3 linked regions of the Mytilus edulis genome follow. The protein of the gene in region 1 interacts with the protein of each later gene in a pairwise test. Links are inferred from orthologs where the notes say so. Each region holds a gene or a part of one and is shown on either strand. Other genes may lie near its edges. The genes, in order: thymidine kinase, cytosolic-like; COP9 signalosome complex subunit 6-like; histone-lysine N-methyltransferase SETDB1-like.

Region 1 (3,761 bases):
CCTTATTTTGTTTCTGATCTTGAAGTAACAATCAAGAATGAAACCACAATCTGATCACAGGAAACCATGCCGATGATTTTATATACTTTATATACATGTATATACTTTAAATGTTTACATCATAATAAACATGCGTACTAAGTTTCTAGTTCATGCAACCACATAATCTTATGGTAAACTAGTTTTTTTTTTTTATCATTATCTTCATTATTAAAATTATAAACCATATGTATTAATCCATTTATAGAAAGACTACCATCTCAGGATTAAATAATTGATTTTCCTATGTTGTTTTATTTTGGTACTTTTAATCATTTAAAATTACAATTGAATTACCAGTTTAAATATTCTACATTCAGTGTGATCTTATTTTGTCTATGTAAACACAGTTTATTCTACTTGCCAAGTAAATGTGCAAGAGTTCCTCAACTTACCTAGGTAAATACTCAAGATTTACTAAACTTACTTGTCATGTGTAGCTATGCCTTCTTTGTCATATCTGTCATCTTTTGAGTATTTAATTACCAAACATTTATAATTGGCTATCTGGTATCTTTTCATTCTTCTCATCAATTCTGTCCTAAAATATACAAACAAAAAATACCAGTCATAAAGTCAATTGTATTGGCATGATTTTTGTAAAATTATGTGGATTGACTATTAAAGTTGTTCAACTTTTTATATCAAAATTAAAGTCATTTTGGGTTTCTGATGGGCTACTAAAAAGTTATACATACATTGTACTTAAAAATTTCTACTTACGTTTTGCCAGAAAACATAGGACCGAATATCACCTGGAAAACAATAAAACAGGCTTTTAAATGTTGCACTATTAATGTATTTTTATGCTAATGAACTAAAAATCACCCTAGACAAATTAAATCAGTGCTGCAGATGACACCTTTCCAAATCAGTATCAAGGATAAGAAGATGTATAATATATACACGAATGCATTATCAGTTACTGTAAAAAGTTTCAACATTGAGGAAAGTACTATTTCAAATTTATTTCTAAGTATTTTTTTGTCTTTAGCACACACAAAAAAATATTTGAAGAGAAATTTCTTAATTGAATCTGACAGATAGTCATGAAAATAATTTGTTGGTTTATGATAAACTTCTACGCTACAGTCGACAGTACAGACCAGTCTCTATATATTGAAAATATTCTATTAAAAAAAGTGAATTTCTCTTCCCTTGTTAAAATATTAAAGGACTATTCATTTCTTAGACAGGTGCCACATGTGGAGCAGGATCTACTTACCCTTCTGGAGCACCTGAGATCACTCCCAATTTTTGTTGGGGTGTCATGTTGCTCAGTCTTTAGTTTTCTATGTTGTTTCTTGTGTACTACTATTTGTCTGTTTGTCTTTTTCATTTTATATAGCAAAGTGTTGTCAGTTAATTTTCGATTTATGAGTTTGAATGTTCCTCTGGTATCTTCTTTCCCCCTCTTTGATAAATGCATTTTTTTCAGGAATTAGTTGAATGAATAGTCGCTCATAATATGATAATGTAATGGAAAGTATGAATGCCTGTAACCATCAGGCCGTCTTTTTCAGCAAATGTTAAGTGTCAAACTGGTTAAAATGTTACCTTGATTCATCAAAATATCCTTATCGTGATTCGTCAGAGCCTGAGAGGTCTCAAATATTTGTTGTTACCGTTATTTTTTGAATAATTAATGTCATTCATTAACATAATTAGGTTTTTTATCGTCAAAAAGAAAGATCATTTTATCGGCATGCACCAAAAAAAACATCGTAATTCTCACCGTTATTCCCCCCACTTACAAACCTCATATTATGAAAGGAGTTGTCCTAGCCGTAACCTATTTATATAAATAATATCATAAATAAATAAAACAAAAAATGTATATGGCACCAGAGACATATAATATGTATTATATGTCTCTGATGGCACTTAAAGACATTATGTAAAGTCAGACTAGCAAATACCATATAAAACTTAGTTACTGTTAGGGAAATGTGTAGTGGTGAACATGCAGAAGTGGGACGAAACATGAATGTGTCGACGATTATGAGTTTTGTCTTTGTTTCCAATCAGAATCATAAAACGTAAACACTCACTAACAGATAAAACTTCATAAAAAGAGTCTAACATCACAAAAAGTAGCATATTCACCTGTATTTGGCCTCTCGGTGACTTGTTAAGTCTTGGAGAATTAAATATATGCCCAGTGGAACACATTTTCTAGCTTTTCTGGAAAAAAAATGTTGCGTAGTTGATTTTGCCGCGAGTTAGCAAGCTTAAAATTGCCTCCAAAAATGACGTCACCAGTGTTTATATTTAATTTATTCATGTTTTTTTTTATTTCTGTATATAAATTTGATAATTAATTTAAACAATAATACCGCCCAACTATTAGTGCTACAAAAACTAATTAATAATAAAAAATATTCTGGAGGGAAAATTGCAACCCCATCTACATTGTTTTCCCTAACAACAAATATGGCTGACCAAGAGGTGGGATATGAGTTTTTAAATCAAACTTTCTTTAGATAAACCGAAACATATCATTCAAAAATCTATTTTTAAGATTGAGTTTATGATAAAAAGTAAATTGGTCATGTGCTCATCAGAAGAAAGATATATATATTTATTACAAGGCAATAGTTGATGATTTTTCTTGTCTTTTTGTCAATATTGATCACACGAAAAAAGAATTATAGTCACTTCGGCACCTGGTCAAATCGGCAACCAATACAGACAATTCAACACCTCGTCAAATCATTAATACACGTTTTTTTGCCAACAGTTTTTGAACCATCACTCCTTAAGATAATGAACCAGACTTTGAATGTCAGTTATTATTCATTCTAATGCAACAACGTTTGTAACGTTCATTTTGATTGGATTACGTCACTTTTGTACATGGCATCAATTGACAGTTGATGCTATGGGATGTACACGCAAGTGCAGAAGGCATATACCAGATTTTAATTACATGATTTAACGTTGTTTTCTGTCAGTTTCATTAGAACAATAACAATAATGTATTTTAAGCTCTGATGGCATCAATTGGGGATTTGATAACACGTCACCAGTAAACTTAATTTGCGACCATCAAATCCCCAATAAATCCCCAATTGATGCTGTTGGAGCTTGAAATACAATACAGTTATATCCTAAATGACAATGTGCATGTCGCGCCAGGTACATGTAGCTAAAATTAAGTAGCAAGTCATTTTGGACATTGACCATTTTGTACCTCTGCCATTTCAGACCTTGATCATTTAGAACCTCTACCATTTTGGATCTTGACCATTTCCCTATGGGTGAAATGCACATTGTTCTTGTTTTCATAAGTCAACAAGTGGGGAGTTGGACTAGATCCTTATTAATCAGATTAAACTACTTTTCATTGGTGGGATGAGTTGGTAGGCTTAAAGTTATCAGGGTTAAAATTCACATCATAAGTGGGGCAAAGTGGGATTAAAGATTTTTTTACAGAAGTGGAGCATTTTGTAGAAAGTGGGTCAAGTTGATAGAATATTTTTATGGATTCACAAGAAAGAAAGAAAGAAAGAAATTTTTGTGTACATTTTTTACTAATTGATGGTAACTGGCAATGCCTTTTGATGCTGAATACAATTTCATTGAAACATACATGTACATCTCAGTAATATCTTTTTTTCCACTCTAAATGAAAACCTGGATGTCAAGTTAGATTGTATTAACTGCTTTTGATTTTGGTAATTTTGTTTGTGTGATTATGTGACTGACCTATCATCATGATC
Region 2 (3,761 bases), on another chromosome or scaffold:
CATTCCTCTGTTTTAATAGCGATCAGTTTTAATATAGTACGACGTCTATCAACAGAATGAGTTAATTTTACTCAACTCGTCGTTTGACGAAAGTTACTTACAGAAGGGAGACAACTCGAAGCAATAATATGGAAGACTCCATTTTGGCTGAAGGGGTTTTCTAGTTACACCTATACTTTAAGGACTACATTTATTTTAATTCAAATGATGCATCTATAATACTAAAATTACGAGGTCCAATTTGTCAGCCGTCATCACGTTAAAACGATGAATCAAAGAATTCAACTTTATATATAACTAATATAGTACAATGGTGTTGATTAAAAATTACACCACTCTAGGCCCGTTTGTTTTCCACGTAATTAATATTGCCAATAATTAAGAAGTTCCGGATCGAGTCCGACACCGATACCAATAGTATATTCCCCTGTTACCTATTACCTTATCTGTACGTTCCGCATCTGACAGGCGCACCACCAAACAGTGTATTTAGAATTTTGCTGTATACTGTTGAGTAAAAAATACTCCATTCCAGGCCCTTTTGTTTTCCAAATTATTAATATTACCAATAATTGATAGGTTCCAGGTCGACGGGTTCAAACAGAAAGATTTTGAAAGCAGAGAAAACTGTGCACGTTATACATGTTATAATCGGCATGACTTTATCAGATGACAATACCAATACTAAAATAAGGCATACGCATAGTTATATATCAGTCACGGACCCGCGATATCACGGGTGTGTTCTAGTATGATTTAAAATTATGCAACAACAATAACCCTCAACAGACATAGACGGATAGAAAGGATCTTGTGAGTTTCAAATTAATCAATGGAGTGGGGAATCCAGAGCAACCATTCAATCTGATACCCCTATAAGTCAAGAAAACTATACACATGCACATAATTACCTTAACAAACCCTAGACTTGTTCTTTGTAGCAAGGACGTATATTAAAAACAACCTCCGTTCTTTATGGAAGTACAATATCAAATATCAGTTTCATAATGGTGACATACATGTACATGTACAACAAAAATGTATATATATAAGAAAACTCCACTTCAGTTCTTATATGACAGACATAGATTTATCGGAATTCAGAGAACTCTTGCATATTACCAAAACTGGGGAATTCCCTCTGACGTGTTTCTAAATTTATAAAAACACTAAATATAAATACTGCTTAATTCTGATTTTCTGTGTTGTTAAAAACACCCATACAAGTCAAGGGAAATATCGAAACATGATTGAAGATTATTAGAAGAACATTATAGGACAGTTGTTTAAATTCAATCCTTTTGTTTTTTATACCATTCAAAGCAAGACAATCTAGTTCCTTGCTGTTTAAAAGAAAATGGTTGACGTGAGGGCATGGCCCGAAGTCAATGGTATAAGTTTACAGATTGCTTAAAAGCGATTGTATCCCAAAAAACAATTTGCTTGACCAGTATTGCCTGCCACAAGATTGATGACGCTGAATGGAATGTACACAAAGCAATGGAGGCAGGAAGTGGGATTTTGTGAAGTAATTCAAAAGAGTAGAAAAAAAGTATTCTGCACTAATTTCTACACTGGAAGTAGCTTAGTGACGTCAATGTGTAGTTTCCCTGTGTGTTAAGTTCAAACACAAATACCGATTGAACTAACAAGATGACCGATAAATGTTTAGACTACATACATTTGTACACAGTAGTCAGTACTCACAGTAGCCTGGCTGAGTAGGATATGCAACGAAATTTCAATAATGTTCCTTAAACAGGTAGGGAACAAACCTTCTATATGGTAATTATACCTGTATAGAGGGATAATCCTTCTATAGAGGGGTAAAATTATCCTCTATATGCCTCTATAGAGGGATATTTTTGTTCAGACTGGATTTAAATCAATATAGGGCAGAATGGCATTCTCTACTTATTATGGCAGTAACCTGGAACAGTTGATGCACCAATTGATGTACTTAATTTAATATGCAAATGCCCAGTTTCATGCTTATCTGACTAAATATAAAATCTATTGTTCACCATGATTGAAAGCTGTGATGATCAGGTAAATTCTACTCACTTCTGCCTCACTGAACAGAATTTCTATTGTTAGATTTAACATGAAATTTAAAGGTCAACTATTCCTTTTGTTGTTGATCAAGTGTTCAGATAGGTTAACAATAGATTGCAAGTTTTGTCACTTTAGCAGAAAACTGGTTATCCCAATTTTTAGTAAAGTGCATATGTTGATGCATATAATGCTAGAGATTGTAGCCAATATAGCTAGAAAATGCCATTCTGCCCTAATTTGCTTTAAATCCAGTGCAAACAAAAATACCCTTCTATAGAGGGATAATTTTATCCCTCTAAAGAAGGATTATCCCTCTATAGAGGTATAATCACCATACAGGGGGTTTGTTCCCAACCTGTTAAAGTAAAGTAGAGTTAACATGCCTTCAGTTAATTGTTTTTCTATTGCAAACATGGGTTTTAATGTGATTTTGCTTCTGCCATGTGTACAACAACTTTTATAATCTATGGTAATGTTACCCTGTGTTGGTTTTCCTTCTTGGGCTCGTACTCTTGTCCAATGTTCAGAAATATTCATTATGACAAGTGGGTGAAACGACACTGAAACACTTCCTGATGCAGTTGTGCTAGCCATCACACTAGTCATGCTAGTAGAAGGTGTATCGATCTCCATTTGAGAAGCCATGGTCATAAAAAACAGAAAAAAGAAAGAAAACAAAAATACTTTAAAGGGACGTAACTTTTGACGTCTGATGATCTTGATCATTTAAATGCTTATTTGAATATGCTTTACTCGGCCCGTAGGAAACTCGGACCGTCTTTGTAAGGTCAACTCGGACCGTTTATTCCAGCTCTGAGTCAATTGTGCGGCGTGACTTTTTACGCCAATCCCCAAGGTAAACGGACAGAAAGTCATAGGACAAAAAGTCACAGGACATAAAGTCACAAATTTGATAGGACAAAAAGTCACAATTAATATTTTATCAATTGTTAAGATATATATAAGAGAAAGATCTTGAAACATTTCTTTTTATTACATCTATTCATTTCTAAGTGTAGGACACTGTTCATAAGCTTTGTAAATGAAAATTTATTAAATTTTAATCATGCAAAGGAGATATTTCTTGGCGACATGAAGCCGTTTAAGTACACAGTCACTTTGACATTTTGTTTTCATAACAATCATGTGATCAGTATTGATATTTATTAAATACATTTTAATTACAAAATTGCTTTGTTTATCACAGTTCAAGAAAAAAACGAATATTTTATTAAAAATTATTTTTTTTTTTTGTTTAAAAAAAAATATTCTAAAAACTGCCTGATTGTGACTTTTTGTCCTGTGATTTTTTTGTCCGTGACTTTTTGTCTGTGACTTTTTGTCCTGTGACTTTCTGTCCTACATTCATACCCCAACATACCCCAATATTCCTTCAGCTGGCCCCTATATAGGCTAAACAAATATATATATACTAGTTCAGTGACAATGAACGCCATACTAAACTCCAAATTGTACACAAGAAACTAAAGTTAAAAATAATACAGGACTAACAAAGGCCAGAGGCTTCTGACTTGGGACAGGCGCAAAATTGCGGCGGGGTTAAACATGTTCATGACTGAGATCTCAACCCTCCCCCATACCTCTAGACAATGCAGAAATGTAAACGCATAAAAATACGCACATTAAAATTCAGTTCAAGAGTAGTATTAGTCTGATGTCAGAAGATGTAACCGCAGAAAATGAAC
Region 3 (3,761 bases), on another chromosome or scaffold:
CGGCATCGTTAACATAATCATTCTGATATGCGGATTACAAAAGGCCATCCCTACATAGAATACAACGTCCGTTTACAAATTAGTTTGTACACACGTTAATACTTTTGTATCAAACGAACTTTTTTGTAAATGAACCCTGCTCTTTAAGTTTAAAGGTACAGAGTAACGTACTTCATATCATGATTTCAGAAAGCGTTCAACATCGATTTCAAACAAATGCTTTGAAACTTCAAATGCAAGTGTTCATGTCAAACGCTCAGGTGATACCAAACGGACTGGACCTTATACGTAAAGATAAAACCCGAGGATTCCGGTAAAAAAGTTTTGAGCGGGAAATACAAATATAAGATTTTTGGTAGGAACGAAAAAATAAAATAAAATAAAATCTTGCTGGTAAATACAAATAAAAGATTTTCAGGCGGAACGAATTGATAGGGTCGGTCGGTAATTATAAAGGGCAAACAAACAATATTTTAATTTAAGCCTAATTGTTTATTTTTAATCATGTTAATGACAGATCCATGCGTATTGCTATCACCGGATTTTTACGAGGAGGGTCACGCTTAGGTCACTATGCATACGGAAAATATGTCGGCCAATTGCTTCCTGGCAGAAAGACAACTCTAGCTTACAACCTTTATGAACATAATGTTACTTGAATCAGTGATTTAATAATCACTCATTTAAGTAAGTCTCCTGACTGTCCAGACAAATTTTGATGAGTCCAGGACTCATGGACTCGCCTTAGTGAGAACCCTGCTCTGACGTCCCACGGCCCCAGCTTGTCTGGAACAACAGGTGTTGGACATCAGAGTAATCTCGGACTAGTGTTAATACCACAATACCAACATGGATCTAAACTGACCGAAACCTAGACTTATTCCGACCTGACTCGGACCACAATGTACATAAACCCCCAAACGTAAAAGATGGCCAACTACATGTATCTTAACTTAAGTACAAAATGTAAATTGCCTCCATTTTTCTTTAAAGCCTCTATCATTTCGTCTTGGTCCTTCCCTCCTATTATGAGAGCAGATGTCATTCCAGGAAACTTTTTTAAAAACTCTGACAAAACTTCATATATCTGGCATGCTAATTCTCTGGTAGGTGTAATTATAATTGCTCCAACTTCATGTTTTGAAAGAGGTTCTTTCTTGTGCAACATTTCAAGAATTGGTATTAGAAAAGCCAATGTTTTGCCACTTCCAGTAACTGCCTCCGCGGCTACATCTTTGTTTTTCATGAACAATGGAATACATGCTGACTGGACAGGGGTTGGCTCTTCGAAATTAAGTTCCTTTAAAATGTTACAGATCGGTAACGAAAGACCGATTGACAAATTTTTCCACGTGCCAGCCATTTTAACTGGTACCTCTGACAACTTAAAAAAGAGCACAACGAATAAAGTTCAAGGATAATAATAAACCAGTCAGGCACGACTCTTTTTAACTTCAATGGAAAGAGTGCCTTTACAAACAATGCAAGACAAGAAAATATGCACGCCGATTTGATTGCTTCATAGTTTAACTGTAAGTTGTGTATGCATACTAATTGAAAGTTAATAAAGGGTTAAACTAACATTAGAAAAAATAATACTACCTACTTAAAACAGAAAAAATGCACAAGCTAATATAAATATATGAATAATATTGCTACTGATTTTTTAATGTAATACTATCAGCAGGGTCTCACTAATTAGCGACAACAAGCGTCAAGAAACGACAACAAGCGTCAACAAGCGACAAGAAGCGACAACAAGAATTATTTTAGCGACAACAAGCGACAAGAAGACTATTTAGCGACAAGAAAACATTTTTTTTAAATTAGATATAAAGAAATTTGTATTTAATGTTTTTTTTTTAAATATACGAGCAGATATGTCTAATTAAAATGTTTTATTATATAGATAGACAAAGAAATGAAACATTTGTGAGGAAGAAAGAGATTTTGAAGTTTATATTAGTATATTGGTAGATGAAGAAATTTAACATTTGTGAAGAAGAAAGAGATTGAGCTTCTTTTTTTTATTTTTAAATATGAAGAATATGTATAAGATAATGTATGTATCTGTTTTCATCAAAGTCAAAGTATGAATAAACGAATGGAGATATATATGGAGCATAATGGAATATAATATTTTGATTCATTTGCTTAATACTATGCTCTAAGTGTACTCTTGTTATGTCAATTCGATGCTTTATTTATAGAACTCTCAGCCACGCTTTGCCATCTTTATCATTTAAGCGTGTTTCCAGACCCCACGACGAGGACGTGGTTCTACCTTGGGGTCTATATATTTTTTTTTTTTTTTTTTTTAAAACTATTTTTAGTCATTATATAGTAATATGTACATTCCTATCTAACATAATATTTATACATTTTGTACATGGTGGTCCCATTTTGATAAGCAAACATGTGGAACATCAAATGAGATTAACGAGTCGCGTGTCCCCTGTTTTATTGCTACAATAACATCCAATTAACACCTTCAACTTTGAACACGCGTCAGACTATACAATTACACGTGCCAGAATATACAATCATTGTAAATAATGAACACCTGTTGAAAACTCAAGATTGTCATTAATTTCCTTTCATCTTCAATCAATATGCATAAACATGAAAGATATCGTTTAATGAGGCAATAAACAAATAAAAAGATGAAAACATTCACATTTCAAATTTCTTTTCCTCCTGTTTGATTTCAGTTCTTTGTATTTCACAATTTGTGTCAATGTTTTCAGGACAATGATGCACAAATAATTCATTCTGCGAGCTTAATATATATTGCACGAAAAGAGTTAAAAAACAAATTATAAGAAATAATATGTTCTAAAACACAAGGAAAAGTAATCTCATAATACAATAATTAAACGTAATACTGGCTGTTATTCATAATAGATGATAAAATATTATGTAAATAATGTTTCATTTTTTTCTATCAATTTTAACTTTCTTGTCGCTAAAATTATTTTCTTTTGCATATTCTTTTAATATTTATTGCAATAATTAATTTTAATTAAAAAAAATGTTTTCTTGTCGCTAAATAGTTTCTTGTCGCTTGTTGTCGCTAAAATAATTCTTGTTGTCGCTTCTTGTCGCTTGTTGACGCTTGTTGTCGCTAAAATTCTTGTTGTCGCTAATTAGTGAGACCGCTATCAGCATGATCAGTTACAGTTGTACTGTTACTAATAGCGTTACGTTACTGTTACAAAATGTAGGCTTGAAGTAAAATCAGGAGATCATATATATATGAGCTACGGTTGCATGAATCATGGTTCTTTCGCGCCCATTCACGTTCACCCCGTTTCACGTTTGCATAGAAAGTGATGCTAGTACTCACCCCAAAATGACAACCATAACAATATCTAGGGATGGTGTTTATAAACTTATTAAAAACATAAACCCTAATAAAGCCACTGGTCCTGATACCATCGCAGGCAAAGTACTGAAACAAAACATTGAGATATGTACAGACATCCTCACATTAATATTCACCAGATCATTAGAAACAGGAAAAGTACCATCTGACTGGAACCATGCTAACGTCACACCTGTATTCAAAAAAGGGGACAAACACAACCCAGGTAATTACAGACCTATATCATTAACATGCATAGCTTGCAAATTACTTGAACACATCTTTGCAAGCAGCATGATGCAACATCTTGAAAACAATAACACACTGTATGAGTTACAACATGGATTTAGGGCAAAGCGATCATGTGAGTCTCAAGTAATCTCACTGATGCATGAAT

Evidence for each region.
Region 2: the proteins of thymidine kinase, cytosolic-like (region 1) and COP9 signalosome complex subunit 6-like interact in a two-hybrid assay, tested with the Homo sapiens proteins (2 studies listed by BioGRID and IntAct). The link is inferred for Mytilus edulis from reciprocal best matches to the Homo sapiens genes TK1 and COPS6.
Region 3: the proteins of thymidine kinase, cytosolic-like (region 1) and histone-lysine N-methyltransferase SETDB1-like interact in a two-hybrid assay, tested with the Homo sapiens proteins (2 studies listed by BioGRID and IntAct). The link is inferred for Mytilus edulis from reciprocal best matches to the Homo sapiens genes TK1 and SETDB1.

What each region holds. Positions count from the first base shown.
Region 1 is NC_092352.1:45,351,006-45,354,766, forward strand, and holds the start of thymidine kinase, cytosolic-like, read right to left. Parts: upstream 2,300-3,761; 5' UTR 2,212-2,299; coding exon 2,146-2,211; intron 795-2,145; coding exon 763-794; intron 581-762; coding exon 467-580; intron 1-466. Other genes in the region: cilia- and flagella-associated protein 184-like, read left to right, coding at 2,473-2,487. UniProt on the Homo sapiens protein: Cell-cycle-regulated enzyme of importance in nucleotide metabolism. Catalyzes the first enzymatic step in the salvage pathway converting thymidine into thymidine monophosphate.
Region 2 is NC_092346.1:85,905,470-85,909,230, reverse strand, and holds the start of COP9 signalosome complex subunit 6-like, read right to left. Parts: upstream 2,775-3,761; 5' UTR 2,707-2,774; coding exon 2,535-2,706; intron 1-2,534. UniProt on the Homo sapiens protein: Component of the COP9 signalosome complex (CSN), a complex involved in various cellular and developmental processes.
Region 3 is NC_092350.1:57,977,646-57,981,406, reverse strand, and holds the start of histone-lysine N-methyltransferase SETDB1-like, read left to right. Parts: upstream 1-1,438; 5' UTR 1,439-1,532; intron 1,533-3,761. Other genes in the region: ATP-dependent RNA helicase DDX55-like, read right to left, coding at 976-1,363. UniProt on the Homo sapiens protein: Histone methyltransferase that specifically trimethylates 'Lys-9' of histone H3. H3 'Lys-9' trimethylation represents a specific tag for epigenetic transcriptional repression by recruiting HP1 (CBX1, CBX3 and/or CBX5) proteins to methylated histones.